Drosophila melanogaster: one gene and its partner. Changing the gene in region 1 together with any one later gene gives a genetic interaction. Each region holds a gene or a part of one and is shown in the gene's direction. Other genes may lie near its edges.

Region 1 (7,454 bases):
AACTAATATTTCAATTGCAGATTTCTTACTAGCAACAAATTTAAATTCTCAATCGACTTGGACTCTAACTTGACGCTTTAACGCTTTAACTTGAGTTCTCGTCGATTGTTGCCTTAATCCAGTCGACGTAGTGCGTCACATTCGTGGCCACTTCGAAGATCCTACAGGATGCATCCCCGTAGCTGACGAGTCCGAGCAGGAAAGCCCGCTTCTTTAACCCGAAGAGCAGCTTCGCGCTCAGCGGGCCCCCGGAATCCCCACCGCAGGCATCGCTGTCCACGCCAGTGGTGCAGATTTGGGACTGGTCGACTTCGATGTTGAAGTTGCTGTTGCAACACGATTGTTCGAGCGCAAGCAAAGTGGTCTCCTGGAGAATGCGGCTGGGCTTATAGTCTGCGGTGTGACCCCAGCCAGTGAGGGTGTAGAAGTGAACCTTCTCCAAGGGTTCGGTTTTTCCCCAGAATTCTGGGGAATCAGTCAAAGCGAGGCTTCGCTGCGTATAGCGTTAAAATTTGCTGAAGATAAGCTTCGCTTATGTACATAAATACTAATGCAGATATTATTGACCCGAATGGCGTCTACGACAGAAGTCAGGGGAGCCATTAAACCACTCGAGATAATATTTTGGATTGATAATATTTTCTTAGAAAAGCCAACGAAATGTTATTATGAGTAGCTAGAGTCTAAGCTGGAAAGCTCTGCTGAAGTCTTCGATGGCGTTCACAATCCAGTCCCTGTGGTGCGTAACGTTGGTGTAAACGGAGAAGGAATGGCATGCCGCCGACCCGTAGCTGACCAGTCCGTACTGGAAGGTCAGCCAGCTGCCGGCAAAAGGAACCTGTGCGCTCAGCGGGCCTCCCGAGTCGCCGTGGCATGCATCGCTATTTGTGCCAGCAGCACAAATCTGCGACTCATCCACCTGCTTGGTGAACTTGCTTCGGCAGAAGTGGAGGTCGGTGTTGTACACAGTGGCCCTCTGGAGCCTCCGGCTGGGCGTGCCATCGTTGGTGACACCCCAGCCGGTGATGTTGAAGATGGGACTTTCCGCCATGTGTCCCTCGACCAGGAGACAGATCGGCCGGACGTAGTCTGAAAGATATGTCCACTGCTTAGGGAGCCCTGGCTGCTGGATCCACCTCATTACCTGAGTACTGGACGAAGCTCTTCATGCGCAACAGGCCGATGTCGTTGTCCAAGTTTAGGTTATAATCCGCATGCAAAATCTTTCTATCCACAGCGAGTTCATATGACTTGGGCACGCAGCAATCCTTGCCAGGAAAGCGGGTGTCATACTCGCCCAAGCGTATTCTCCTGAGTTTATATGACTTGGGCACGCAGCGCGAGCAATCCTTGCCAGGAAAGCGGGTTTTATACTCGCCCAAGCGTACTCTCCTGTGGAAATGGGAATTCGTAAGTGTTCGCCGAAAGACAGTGCTGCCTCACTTACATGTGTGTACTAACGATGCAATGGGCGGCCGTGAGAACGAAGCCTGAAAGTATTAGCAGCAGGTGACTGGACAAAGAACTCATTCGTGGGCCACATTTGAATACTTACGACTGGTGATTAGCGAGCCACCACATAGTTTCTCGCCTAGCACCTTCACCATCCATGGATTTGAGAATAGGCCTGCGTCTGCGCCCCCGGTGATCATTGGGATAAATTCTGGTTTTGTCGTGCCACAACTGGAGTCTAGCAGGTGACCAGGTGCTCCTTCACCCAACTGGATGGAGCAGACCAGAAGAGCTAATCCAGCTGCGATGAACTTCATCTTTTCGCGGTAATGGAGCGACTGGCAAGCTTAGTCGAGTTTGAGGTAATTTTTGAGGAATTTTATGTTGACCAGCTGATAACAGTACACTCTTTATGACCGTCAACGGAAACGGATATGATAGGAATCAGTGTTTTGTTTTAATGAGTGCTCTCAGTACTTTTTTATTTTTATTTTATTTACGAATCTGGGGAAATTCCAACTCACTACCAAAAATTAGACCCCTGTGATGCTTTGTCTTGCGCCAACTACTTATACAAATTTGAACTTGAATATTTTTCCTGCTTAGCTTCTCGATTAACCCTTCGAAATGCAGTTATCTGGGTAAACGAATATTCATCGCGATCAGTTGTGGAATATAATTTAATCTATTCTTTAATAAATCCAATTAAATGCTGCTAGTTATGAATTTTAATAGTAACAAGCAACTTAATTTGTGTTTCATATAACAAATCATTAGTGTGACCGAACTCAACTCATAGGTGGTGTCATAGCCGCATAATAAGACCGTATTTGGATGTTGCAGTGCACTCTCCAATAAGAATCAAGTTTAACCTCGTTTCAAATCATTTATTCGCCGATTTCACGTTGGGTCCGACACAAACAGCTCTGAAATGTTGATGCGACAATTAAGACTAAGTTACTGGCCGCCTAGTGGTGCTCGGCGTGCTCCTTGGCCTGCGATTCGGCCCATGCCTTCTTGTTCTCGGGCGAGTTGGCTGAAAATGGGCAGGAGGGAGAAGTGCATTAGTACAAGGGGCCCAGAGGTCGCGAGGCGAGTGTTACGCACCCAGCTTGCTGATCTTGTAGAACACGGGCACGCAGGCCACGGCCGCAATGAAGTAGTAGCGCCAGATCCATTGGTTCTTGATGTAGTGCTTGATGGGGAATTGGGCTATCTTCGCGGAGAAAGTGTATGGGTAGCGCATGGGGCGTCCAGCGGGTTTCTCGGCAGCAGCTTTGTCGGCCATGGTAGTCGTGGAATTCGCAGCTGTGGAGGGTCGAATTAAACGAAATCAATTTACGCAAAAATTATGTAATTTTCGGAGGCGGCAGACGAACATACGAACCTCACAAATAAAAGACAGCTATGGGAATGCCAACTCGTGCGGCGAGGAAAGCACCAAAAATGACACTGGCTGCTAGCGAGTCTGGCAAGGCCGGCCATGTGTTTACCGCGGCGAATCAAGACGGTTATCGATTCACTTACATCGCTATCAACTGGTGGACGTTTTTTTGCCATCGTGAGCAAAACTTTCGAGTTACTTTTCCCGAATAATAATATAGAATCGTAAGGTAAAGACAGCAAGCACACTGCTTAGGTGCTATAAGCCAGCATTCGTGCTTACCCATAGACGCAGGATTCAGCTTGGATCTTAATTGCACCGCCACAGGAGTCTGAACCTTTTTTAACCTTTTCACATCCTTTTTCACCTTAATTGCCATGTCTCTCTCTTTTCAAGCTTTCAAAATGGTTTTAACTAGCGAACAGGTGCCACAGGTAGCTAGCTTGCCTCTTAGTAACTAATTTGCCAAGTAGCGAGTTTCCCAAATTTAGTTTTGATTTAGCATGTCGGCCGATTTGATTTCGTATTTGATCCAAACAGTTTGATAGTTTTACATATTGTTACATCAATAACTAATTCCGTACTCCCTATCTGGACTGGGACTGACGCCCAGACTTTGAAGAGCAAGCACAAGAAGCAAAGGCAACGCAATCGACCGCGCAACAAACGAAATCGCCTGGAAGACAGCCATTCAACGACACAAGAAACATCAGCCATCGACGCCACGAGTGCAATGCCCGGAAATGCTGTGGATCCATTGGCCACGGAGAAGACTCGTGACCAGATAATGGCCGAGCGGGAGGCGAAGAAGCTGGCTAAGCAGGCCAAGAAACAGAAAACTGCACCGACTCCTACTGCCGCCACTCCTGCTGTTCTGACCACTCCCTCTGCTCCGGCCACCAAAATCATCACTGAAGTGGAGCAGACCACCATTACCACTAAGCTGACGACCACCACCACAACAAAGGTGCAGGATGCAGTGGCTTCAAAGACGACTCAGCCAGCTGCGGTAAATGGCAAGGATGCGGAGGCGGGTGAAAAGACACGCGAGCAGATCAAGGCGGAACGCGAGGCCAAGAAGGCAGCCAAGAAAGCTGGCAAAGGCGGGGGAGCCAAGGTAGAGGGCATCGCACAACAGCTCGCTGACCTGAAAGTAGCAGAAAAAGCTCCAGTCGCAGCCAGTGCTGCACCTTCGACAACAGAAGCGGACCAGGAAAAGGTAACTTGCTACATTTATGATTTCCTTGCTTCATATACATCTCACCTCACCTTGCACAGAAAAAGCCAGCTCTTAGCAAAGCGGAGCGTCGCGCTATCCAAGAAGCCCAACGGGCAGCCAAGGCCCAGGTACAGACTAAAAAGGCCCAGCATGCAGCCAAGGCACCACCCAGCGCAGCTCCCAAAGGGCCGAACCGGAAGAGCGTTTCCCCCACCACAGCGGCCACCAGCAGTTCCCCCGTCAAATGTCCAGCCAGCACGCCCAATGTAGACTGCCGGGTGAAGCTGTTCAACCATCTGGTGTGCGCCAAGGAAGACAGCCAGTTCATCAACGATCCACTCGTTCATCCGAGCATTGCGCGCTTGGGTGTTCAGTACGCCAAGCGCACGGTGGTGGGGTCCAATGCTCGATGCATTGCCTTCCTGCACGCCCTGCGCCAGGTTGTCCACGACTTTGAGACGCCCGCCAAGAAGGAGTTTGGTCGCAGCCTGGACGCCGCCGTGAAGCACCACGTAGACCACCTGCACAAGTGCCGACCGCTGGCCGTGTCCGTGTCCAATGCGTACAAACAATTCAAGAACCAACTGACACAGCTGCCGGCGGATGTTCCCGAAACGGAGGTAAGAATCAAAATATATTTTTTTAACTCAATTGGTAACATGCATTTGCTCAACAGTCGAAGGAGCTGCTCGTCCACTTCATCGATACTTACATTGAAAATCAAATCGGCAAGGCGGCCCAAGCGATCAGCGGTTTTCTGCAGGAAAAGATCACCGATGGCGACGTGCTGCTGACCTTCGCCTGTTCCTCCCTCATTCAGTTCATCTGCGAGGAGGCCAAGCGGCGCCAGGTGGCCTTCCGCGTGATTGTCGTCGATTCGCGACCCGGATGCGAAGGCCAGGAGCTGCTGCGCCGACTGCACGCCACCGGAATCCCGTGCACCTACGTGCTGATCAACGCCGTGGGCTATGTGATGGCGGAGGCCACGAAGGTGCTGCTGGGAGCACACGCCCTGCTGGCCAACGGATACGTGATGGCGCGAACGGGCACCGCCCAGGTGGCCCTGGTGGCCAATGCCCACAACGTGCCGGTGCTCGTGTGCTGCGAGACGCACAAGTTCAGCGAGCGCTTCCAGACGGACGCCATCGTCTACAACGAGCTGAGCGATCCCAACCAACTGGTGCGCGGCGACAAGTGCCAGCTAAGCAACTGGGCGGCCAAGGGAAAGCTGTTGCCGCTCAACCTGAGCTACGACATTACTCCGCCGGAGCTGGTGAGTGCCGTGGTCACCGAGGTGGCCATCCTGCCCTGCACCAGTGTTCCCGTCATACTCCGCATCAAGCCAGACATTGGCTACTAATCAGACTTCATCGATCGCTCAGTAGAACTCGCAGTTGTTGAATAAATAAGTTTTATTACACTTTGATCAAATCGACAAACAAGATTGATGCGTAGTTCATAATTTACGGGTATGCTAGTGGAATATGCTTGATGCCAGGGACCGCTGCTGCGAAGGAGGGCTAGGCCCAAGTGTCTGTACATCCGGCAGACCGCCGAGTTCCTCGGAAATTATAAATATTTTGATCAAGAGCAAGTCTGCGCTCTGACATGCAATTGTACTTTCCGTGCGGGTGGGGCTGGGATTAGCAAATATGTAGCTCTAGATTCTAATAACAAAATACAGTTTTGTGCCCGGCTTATAGACTAGGACGATGCCTGGAAGCCAATCGCTGGTGGATTGATTTGGTTTTGCTCTTTTGATTTCCATTTGCAACAACTTGAATGAGCTTCTACAAGCAGCTAAGTCTACAAATGCAACAATAAATACACACAATAAATTTAATAGCGTTTCCATATCGATTGCACACCCTAGCTCCGCTCCATTCCTCGATCCTGCCTGCCTTGCCTCTACGGGCTTTGCTTTTGCATTTGCCGGAAGCAGCCCCGGCACACCGGCACCGGCTTTCCACTGTCGTGTCCTGGCAGAGCCACGTTCTTGTCTATGCAGCGCTCGCAGAAGATGTCCCCGCAGCGCCAGCAGTGAGTCTATTCGAGGATTGGATCATCATCAGTGGCAGGCTTGCTTAAGTACGCGGAGTTACCCACCTTTTTGCTGAACTGATCGAAGGGCGTGGAGCAGGAGCAGGTGGTTACGTTGCGCATGGGCTTCCAGTCTACGGCCACGGAGTTGATCTCCTCGGGCAGCGCCTGCGGCGGACTGGATTGTTCCGCGCTCAGCGACAGACTGGCGAAGGACATGTTGCTGGCCTTCAGCGGATGATCGTCGTCGGCGGCAGACAGTTCGCTAAGCTTCTTATCGTAGTTGTATCTGCAATAAGCGGATGGATTATAAAGCATACTATAGCATAATAACTAATATCTATCATACGCACTTGTTGTCATTGATCTCGTTGCTGGAGAGCTCCTTGTTCACTTTGCCAGGGGCGCTGGTGGCGTCTTGCAGTTTCTTGGCCGACTTGGAAATGTAGTTCTTGAAGCTGGCTATGCGCTTGGTCAGATGCTGCACGTGGTCCTCCAGCGAGTTGCAGTGCTCCTTGCTATCGAGCAGCACGTCGCCCAGTGGCTCCCGCGGATGAATGCCGCTCTCGAAGCGACTGTACATGCCGCGCCAGAACCTGTGTGAGAAGCGCATAGTTTATATAGGATTTGGCTCATTCCAGAAAGTCCTCACTTGATGCACTGCGGTGCCAGGTTGGCCTTAATGGCCTCGTCTACATTTGGTTTGTACAGCGGGTTGATATACTCGTTCAGGTGATTGGCCATATAGCCCCACAGCGAGAAGGTGCGCTCGGCCAGCTTTAGGTCCAAGCGATCCTTCTCGCAGTTGCCCACGAAGGTGCCGAATTGACATGAGTGCACATGGTCGTGCAGGATGAGCAGGAACCGCTCGTTGAACTCGAAGGCCTCGCTGCGCTGCGACATTAGCTGCCAGGTACAGTCCAGGAACTGTGTGAAGATCGGCGACACCTCGCGGGCATCCGTCTGGATGTGACCGCAGCGCTCGCTGAACTTGTGCCCGAATGCCAGCCAGTCCTTCTCGATTAGCGCCTGGAAGCCCTTGATGGTTCGGTAGTAGGGGTTCAGCATCAGCTGCGCCAGTGAACAGACCTGGGCCGTGCGGTCCCAGCCGTCGGAGCAGTGGACCACCACCGAGACGCCCTTGTCCACGGCGTTGGCGATGAAGCTGCAGGGTGACACACACAGAATGTTAACAACTCAGTCCACAATGCCATTGGGAGATTCTCCTGTCTGTTGGCTCACCTCGACGTGTCCAATATGGAGCGAATGTGCTTCAGCCAGCCGGATGACTCCAGGGCATTTATGAAGGCGCTCATCGTGGGCGACTTCTGTTCGCAGGCCTCAAGCACCTTTTGCAGA
Region 2 (7,653 bases), on another chromosome or scaffold:
AACGAATCTTTGGCCATTGGCTGGCATAAATTGTGGACGAATCAAGTGCCTCGGTGCAATGCTATTCGTATTGTCGACGAAATTCAACGAGGCGCACAACACGCCCGAGAAAACGTTGGCCAACTCCTTCCACTGGCGATCCACATCCCGGTTGGTCAAATTTGCGCCACTGAACCACGCCCACATCTCGGCACCGCTGGTGGCCTCCACAATGGGATAGCCCCATGTCTCGTAGCGCCACAGTCCCTGGGTTAGGCCAATGTGCAGCTCCTTTACCGCAAACTGCTGCAACAGCTCCGCAATTACTCGAGGCGTCAATTGGGTGTGGTAAACTGAAAGAGCAAATGGTAGACACAATATAAGCATTTAATCGGTTAACCAGAAGTTCTAATGATGCTTCAATGGGGCGCATATGTATACATATATGTAGGAACACCTTTCGGCATGCAATGGCCTGTATTTTCGTATGCCGGTGGGTGAGATTCCCGCCCCATTTTTGCAATCGCAATGATGCGGACTTCGGCCGCTGAAAAAACTCACGATTATCCTTTTCGCCGTAGTGCCAGCGCGTGGTGAACTGAAAGTAGGTGTTGACATGGTCGCCGGACAATGGACGAACCACTAGCTCCTCGTGGAATCGTTCGTCATCGCGTCCCAAATTCGCGTCGGCATTAGGTGCAACCAGCAGCAGCAAGACAAACGCCACCGGATACATGCTGGCCCATAGGTTCAGTGCCAGTTCCTCCGCCCTTAGTCCGTTTCGGTTCTAACGACAGCTGATGATCCGTTTTAATGTATTTTATTTTATTTTATTTATATTTATTTATTTTTTTTGTGTTTAGGTTACCGCGACATCCGTAAATGTCGTGGAATTATTTGGCCAGCCGGATATGGAAATGCAAAATGGAAATTGCCACGGACTTAAGGTTGCAAAGATTTATAAGTTTATTTTAATTTGGTGTAGTAAATCTTTGATGTTTTCGTTTTTAGAGAGATGGTAGATGTCTTGGTATTTTTCCAGGGCTGGAAAGTGCTGCCTAGCAGTGTTGTATAACTTGTGGGATACGTTATCGATAACGTTACATTGGTCACACATGTTATTGTTTGTAACGTGCATTTGATTCAAAATATAATTGTCAAATGCGTTATCGCTGAGAAGTCTGTTAAAAAGAATTTGTACCAAAGCAAAAAATCCACCACATCCACGAGTTGGGCTTACAACTAAAGCACCATAAATGAGAAAGCGCGCCAAAATCGAGCATCATCAAAAGTGAGTAATAAAGGAAAAAGCGAAATAAAGTAGCTGCAATCTTACGGAATCGTGAGCCCGCCAAAAATTTGGCGTACACCCAAAGAGAAAACGCGAATAAGGTATAACAAATAATGCTCGGACAGCGAAAGAAGGAATAGGGAATCGAGAGAAAGATAAAACAATTTATTGGAATTCTTAGTGAAAAGTTAGAAATAAAGGAAAAAGTGGACAAAAAAAAACTGCACTTTCGATGTATTTTAATACTCAAATTTTATTAACATAGAAATTAACGATTAGACAGACCGTTTTCTGGCTGACCGTTTTATATACCGTATATACTGTGAAAAATACTACATAATACTCATGGGTGTGGAACACCGCTTAATCATTGGTTTATGTCCAGGATAAAAATTTTAAACGTCGTTTATACCTTTTTAAAACAATCTATAGTTAATCAAAAAGAATAAATATAAATAAATAAAGAGTGAAAACAAAGCAAGTGCATAAACACAGCGATCATTTATTATTATGTATATTTAACACACATATTTAATATGCACGCGAATAAAATGAAAAAGTCAACGGCAGTCTTTCAAATGAAAAAACTAAAAGTAACAAGGAAAGTTTTTTTTTTCTATAAATATAGAACTAAAACTATGATGAAAAAACTCATCATTTGATAATACTAATAAGTATGCTACTTCAGTTCTGGCTTCTTTCCGAGTAAATACATGATTTTCCAACTTCTTAGAAGTCATCTGCACGTTTTTGACCACAAAAACATCTTCTCCTTGAAATTATTTGTTGCACCTGGGTTCCTATAAGCAAAAGTAGTTTTTTTTTAGTGCATCTAAAAAGGCAGCTTATTGTAAGCAGCTTACATGAAGTCCACGGGGCTTTCAGCTCTTTAAATTTCTTTCTTTTGCGTTTCCGGGTGTATCTAAACAAGAATTTCGAAATGGTTTTGATTAAAGTGCTCATCTTCTTGAAAGCGCAGCACTTGTCTACTTACTGTGCCATTGCTTTGGGGAAGTTTTGCTTCCGATTCTTAGTCCTGTCGTTGAGCTTGCATCTGCTTTCGGTCTTTTCAATCTGTGGCTATGATTATGATGCAGTTGCTCCTCGCAGGAGAAGACGCGACTCTCGTCCTGCGATATCCACAGTCGCGCTTTGCACGTGCAGGTGGAATCACCATGCGATAGCCGGCTTGAAATTTAAACTAATGTCGCTGCAGCTAAGGACTTTGTTCGCATATCCAGAGCGGTGGAGAATCTGCAATTCAAATTGTTGTATATGTATATATTGTATGTATATATGTTTTAGCCACTCTGTAAAAGTCCCATGTAACATTCATGTACCTAAACTAAATGCATAAACAATTTTAAATAAACGTGCCAATTTAATGGAAAAAAACATCGATCACAGCTGATTTGCACTAGAAGGTTCGAGTCTCTGATAGCCAGCAAGTTGGTATTTTTGCAGCATATTTTTTCTGCTGTCTGCGCACCATAAAATTGTTTATATTACTTTTCAAAAACATTGGCAAGCGTATATTTGCACAAAATGTAACCCTTATCTTATAATCAAACGGGTAAATATATTTAAACGGGAAAGTGCAGCAAATGCAACGCGCGAGTCCGTTTCCACCACATGGTATTCGGTTTGGATTTTTTTTTAGTATTTTTTCGCGGCATTCTACCGCACGCGTTAGTGCATACGCACACGGCTCGCGGGGCATATTATAGCGACGCACCACGGTCACGCTGCTCAAAGTGAAACGGCCAAACGAAGAAGACGTATCGTGTGTGCTCAGACTTGTGCTCTCAAAATTTTTGGTCAACTACATTATTCAGCTCTGGTAGCGAAACAACAACAACAACTACTACTACTACTCACACTTAACAACAATACGAACGAAATAACAATGCCGTCGACGCAGCGCCGAAACGCAGATATATTTTTTTTTGTTAATTCTTTTGGAGCAAGCAAGTTCTTCTTCAGCGAGCAAAAAATAAATGAAATGCAGCCGCCGCACAACATGATATGCAGATTAATTTAAACAAAACAGCGATCGAACTACCGCGGGTGGGGGTTCTTTTTATCACTATATTTGACAACAATTTGTATACTGTTTTTATTTGTTGCCGTTGTTTTACCTTTTGGTCAGTCATATATGCAGATATATGTATATATATATATATGTATATCTTCATAAATGCACATGAGAATTCGCGGAACGGAACACACTATAGAAACGTTAAGCAGCGGCAGTAGCAGCAACAAGAACAACAGCAGCAACAACAACTACTACAACGAACAGAGACGACGTCGAAGGAAAGATTTTTACTCGCGTCGCGGTATACTTCAACTGTTTTTGAACTTTTATTGCGTGTTTGCTGCTGCGACAAAACTTGCGCGGCGCCACAAAGCGGAGAAAACGTTGACCGCGTGTGTGTGGCGGAGAGCATGCGCTCTCTCGCCCGTATACGTATACGCGCTGTTGTGCGGTGGTGTGCGTGTCTGCGCCAGTCGGTACGCGATTTCAGTTGCGCCGCCCGTTTCGCTCGCGTTTATCGCGACTCACACACTGAAGTGAAGGCGGGCGACAAGCGCTGCCATTGCCAATGCCACAGTGTTGTCCGTTGTTCGCCGCGTTCGCTCTCGCCGCAACTCGAGTCGATATGCCCGAATTCGCCGCCGCGCCTGGCTGTGTGTGACTTGCTTGCTCCAAATTTAGACGAACCCTCATTGTTTTCCTCCCCTGTCTCAGTTTAGAGTTTTAACTAAAAAAGATCACAAGCCAAAAAAAAAAAAAACAAAGAGAAACCTAAAGAAATATCAACCAAAAGTGTGCAAAATCCAAAAGATTCTACAATCCGAATCGAAAACAAAAACATAAGAACCACAAAAGCAGCAGCAGAAAGAGACACAGAGAGCAGCGAAAACTTAACTGCGAATTCAGCGGCTGAAGCAAAGCAGCGGAGCCCAAGTGCAAGCGAGACGGCAGCAGAGCTCCGCTGCAAGGCAACGGGATAGAAAGAGAGATAAATAGAGAGACAGCGCAGCAGCGATATAGAGTGAGAGCAGGCGGGAGAGCGAGTAGCGGCAGCGACAGCAACACAGCCACAAAAGAGATCGTGAGAGGGAGGGAGAGCTAGACGACGACCTACTACACAAAAAAAGGTGATAATTTTTTCATTTCATTCTTTTTACCTTTTGATTTTTCTTTCTTTACCCCCTTCGAATTTCGTTTTAGTTGTATTTTGTGGTATCTATAGTTAACACATCTTGTACGCCTAGTCTAGTTTTAAGTGAAAATCGTACGAATCGTACGTACCAAGAAATGCCAAAGCAAATAATGTAACTTGCTCTCTCTCTCCCTCGCACACTTCCTCTAGCTCTCGCTCTCATTTCATAACTCGTTTTCCATAAATTTCATATATATTTTATTCAGTTGTATATTTCTTTGTTCACCCCACTAAGAATCAAACGCCTTTCCTAATTCTCGTCCAAAAAGTCCAATCAATTCAAAATCATTACGAATTTCGATTTGCAGCTTTGTAGCTCACTTTCATTGAAACCACAAAGAAATAAATGAGAGAGAGAGAGTGTGAACATTTAACAGTAACGAGGGCTGTTATTAACATTTCAGCGGTGCGTAAAAGAAACCAATAAACATTAACAAAAAAAAAAAAAGAGAGTTGCTAAAAACCAAACAAAAATGTCTGCATTTTTCAATCCTTTCGAGTGTGTTTTGTGGGCGGGCTGACGTCTGACATCACGCGGGGCTGCTTCTTTTGCTCCTAGTTACTTTTCTTGGCCCAGAGCTGTGTGGAACAAGTCATAGTAAGAAAGTATCGTTGGTTTACAATGGGCACATTGGAACACTCTTCTATGGAAAGTGCACCACTTGCCCACTGTGTTTTTTCTCTCTTTTTCGCTGCCCCAGCGGCAAATCTTTATCCTTTCGCATCGAATTCGCCATCTAACAGTGTGCGTTAACATGAAAGCGCTAACAGCGGCAGGGCAGCCAGAGCCACAAGGCGAAAGGGTGAGGGGGAGAGTTAGTCAGTGGATGAGTGTTCGCCAGCAAATCGTAATATACTTTTGTAACAGACCACTGCTTCGGGCCGCGCTGGCGGCAGACTGAACCGCGTTGTCACACATTCAAAATTTCAACAAACTTCGCTACGCTGCCGACGTCGACGTCCCCACGCCAAGTTAACCAAGCGAGTGTGAGCGAGTATTGGGCTCTTGAATTCGCCTCACGCTCACTTGTCGCTTTGTCGCCGGCCGCTCTCCGTCTCGCTCTCGTTTTCGGGGAATAATTTCAATGATTTTTCTTTCCTTTGAAAAGAAGTTTCTAGCAGTTGTAGTTGTAGTCGCCCATGGGCTTAGATTGTATTTTTTATGTTGCTCTTCGTTCGTAAATTTCATTTAGTTTGGATATTTTATCATTTTACGAGGGGTTTTAGGCAGTTTTTACTCGATATTTGTACATTTTTGCACTTGTAGTTTCCGCAAGTTATGGTTTTGTTGCGGCATAGCTTAAGTTTTCCCCCACAAATGTTAAATTGAGTGGGTTTTTAAGCATTTTATCATATTTTTTGTAGGGTTTCTTTCAGGTATACGCTGTTAACTATAGGAGAAATATTGTTTTCAAAGTAACAAGTACTTATGTATGTGATTTTTGCCACTTTCGTACATTTTAGACAAATCAATGAATATTTCTCATTTTCAACATATTCTATTATACAATGACTAGCTGAAATACAGAGGTGGTCAAAAGTATTTACAGTATTGAAGTATTTTTGACCACCTCTGTATTTAGCCTTCATTGGTGGTCGTTCATATAATGTTGTTTCCCCACTATCTTATCTCTTTTGATTGGATTTCACATGTTTAAGGGGTCAAAATGAGTGTATTTTTCAATGCTCAATTCGCTTCCGTTTTCAGCATGCTTACTCACGCACACACTTGTGCGCTTTAAACGCTTACGGTTCTGTGTGTGCGTGTATGTAAATGTCTAATACTTGTGTCAATTTTCCCTAGTGATGTAATAGATTTTTTAGGTGCGGCTTTTTTTCCGCCTTCATTCGCTCTGCCATGTTCCACACTTTTTCATGCTCTTTAATATTATTTTTTTTAGTTTGCCAACGAGGTCAGACTGGCACAAATACACATGCAAATGCACGTGCATATGAGTGCGCGCACACAGAGACATCCCTAAATAAATCGCAGTTTGCAGTTCTCCCTTCCACCCTTGCTCTTCTGTCTCTCGTTTGTCTACCTTTCATATGCCCTACCTGTAAGCGATCGCTGTTGTTGTTACTGTTAAATGAATCTGTTACACTCCTCTTCTTTCTTAAAACCTTACTTCCGGCTTGATCATCTCATGCTCTCCCTCCTCTCGCTCTTTCTCACTGTTTCTGCATAAATAAGTTGCCCGCATTTTGTTGTTATCGCTAAATTCTAGTGTATGTGTGTGTGCTGGTTGGGTGTATCTGTATCAGCTTGTAGTATTTCTAAGCCTTGTTTTGGTTTCACGCCCTTTTTATTTAATTATCTGTAGAATGTGCGGCGACCCAGAGATTCCGATTCCGTTATCCCTCATTAAGAAAAGTAAACACCTGCCATAATATGTAAACATTACGCATTTACATATGTATGTACATACATGTACATACACACTATAAACCAAAGAGATTGCCGTTATTGTATTACGAATTTTAAGAATCAAGCTCATCCTAGTAATTGTTAATGTTTGTTTCATTATTTACTGGTCTGGCTACTCTTTTGGTTTGTAATATTAAAAGTAAGTGCGACTTTTCCTTCTCTGCGGTCGCATTTTCCAAAAGTAGAACAAAAAGCATTGGCTTAACCCCTTTTGTTCCCCCCATTTTCCGACCGATTGAAATACGCAAATGATTGATGTAACTTTGTTAGTGCTCGCTTCCTTTGCCTTTAAATTAAGCCCATTAAAATTAATTAAGATATTGACCCAGTTCGCTGGCAGTCGTCGGAAAAGCGTCGGCACAGAAACAAAATTGTTTCAAGTGCCTGACATTTTTACATTAAAGCGACATGACGTCATTAGATGAACTTGTTGTGCTCACTTTGCTTGTGTTTGTTGGTTTCTGCTGGAAAACGAGCATAAGCAGTTAATAATTGGCAGTGATTGCAATAAATGCAAATATGTATTCTTTTTTAAATGGAGCATGAAAAAAGAATATAAGGGGGAAAATCAGCAGAGATTGCAAATAAAAACTATAAACAAACCACGGAGTACTTTAATTTATATGTATGTATGTATGTGTGTGTACATGCATGTATGTACATTAACTGCGAAATTCCACTGTATTTCATTGGTTTCTTTCTTTCCATACTCGCTGGATGGCGGT

The links. Genes that interact genetically often act in the same process or in processes that back each other up.
Region 2: of eIF2Bdelta (region 1) and Trf2, changing one suppresses a phenotype caused by changing the other (phenotypic suppression), as found in Drosophila melanogaster (one study listed by BioGRID).

What each region holds. Positions count from the first base shown.
Region 1 is NT_033778.4:23,383,558-23,391,011, forward strand, and holds eIF2Bdelta (eukaryotic translation initiation factor 2B subunit delta), read left to right. Parts: upstream 1-2,963; 5' UTR 2,964-3,065; intron 3,066-3,232; 5' UTR 3,233-3,240; coding exon 3,241-3,270; intron 3,271-3,346; exon of another isoform or gene 3,347-3,449; coding exon 3,450-4,055; intron 4,056-4,114; coding exon 4,115-4,675; intron 4,676-4,731; coding exon 4,732-5,415; 3' UTR 5,416-5,495; downstream 5,496-7,454. Other genes in the region: CG30414 (uncharacterized protein), read right to left, coding at 677-1,089, 1,145-1,392, 1,448-1,490, 1,556-1,769; roh (reduction of Rh1), read right to left, coding at 2,421-2,488, 2,560-2,740; Mtmr6 (myotubularin related protein 6), read right to left, coding at 5,964-6,101, 6,162-6,384, 6,449-6,691, 6,748-7,260, 7,338-7,454.
Region 2 is NC_004354.4:8,406,255-8,413,907, forward strand, and holds the start of Trf2 (TATA box binding protein-related factor 2), read left to right. Parts: upstream 1-3,017; 5' UTR 3,018-3,110; exon of another isoform or gene 3,111-3,498; coding exon of another isoform or gene 3,499-3,720; exon of another isoform or gene 3,721-4,027; 5' UTR 4,028-4,435; exon of another isoform or gene 4,436-5,404; intron 5,405-7,653. Other genes in the region: PIG-T (phosphatidylinositol glycan anchor biosynthesis class T), read right to left, coding at 1-332, 541-715; lawc (leg arista wing complex), read right to left, coding at 3,499-3,720.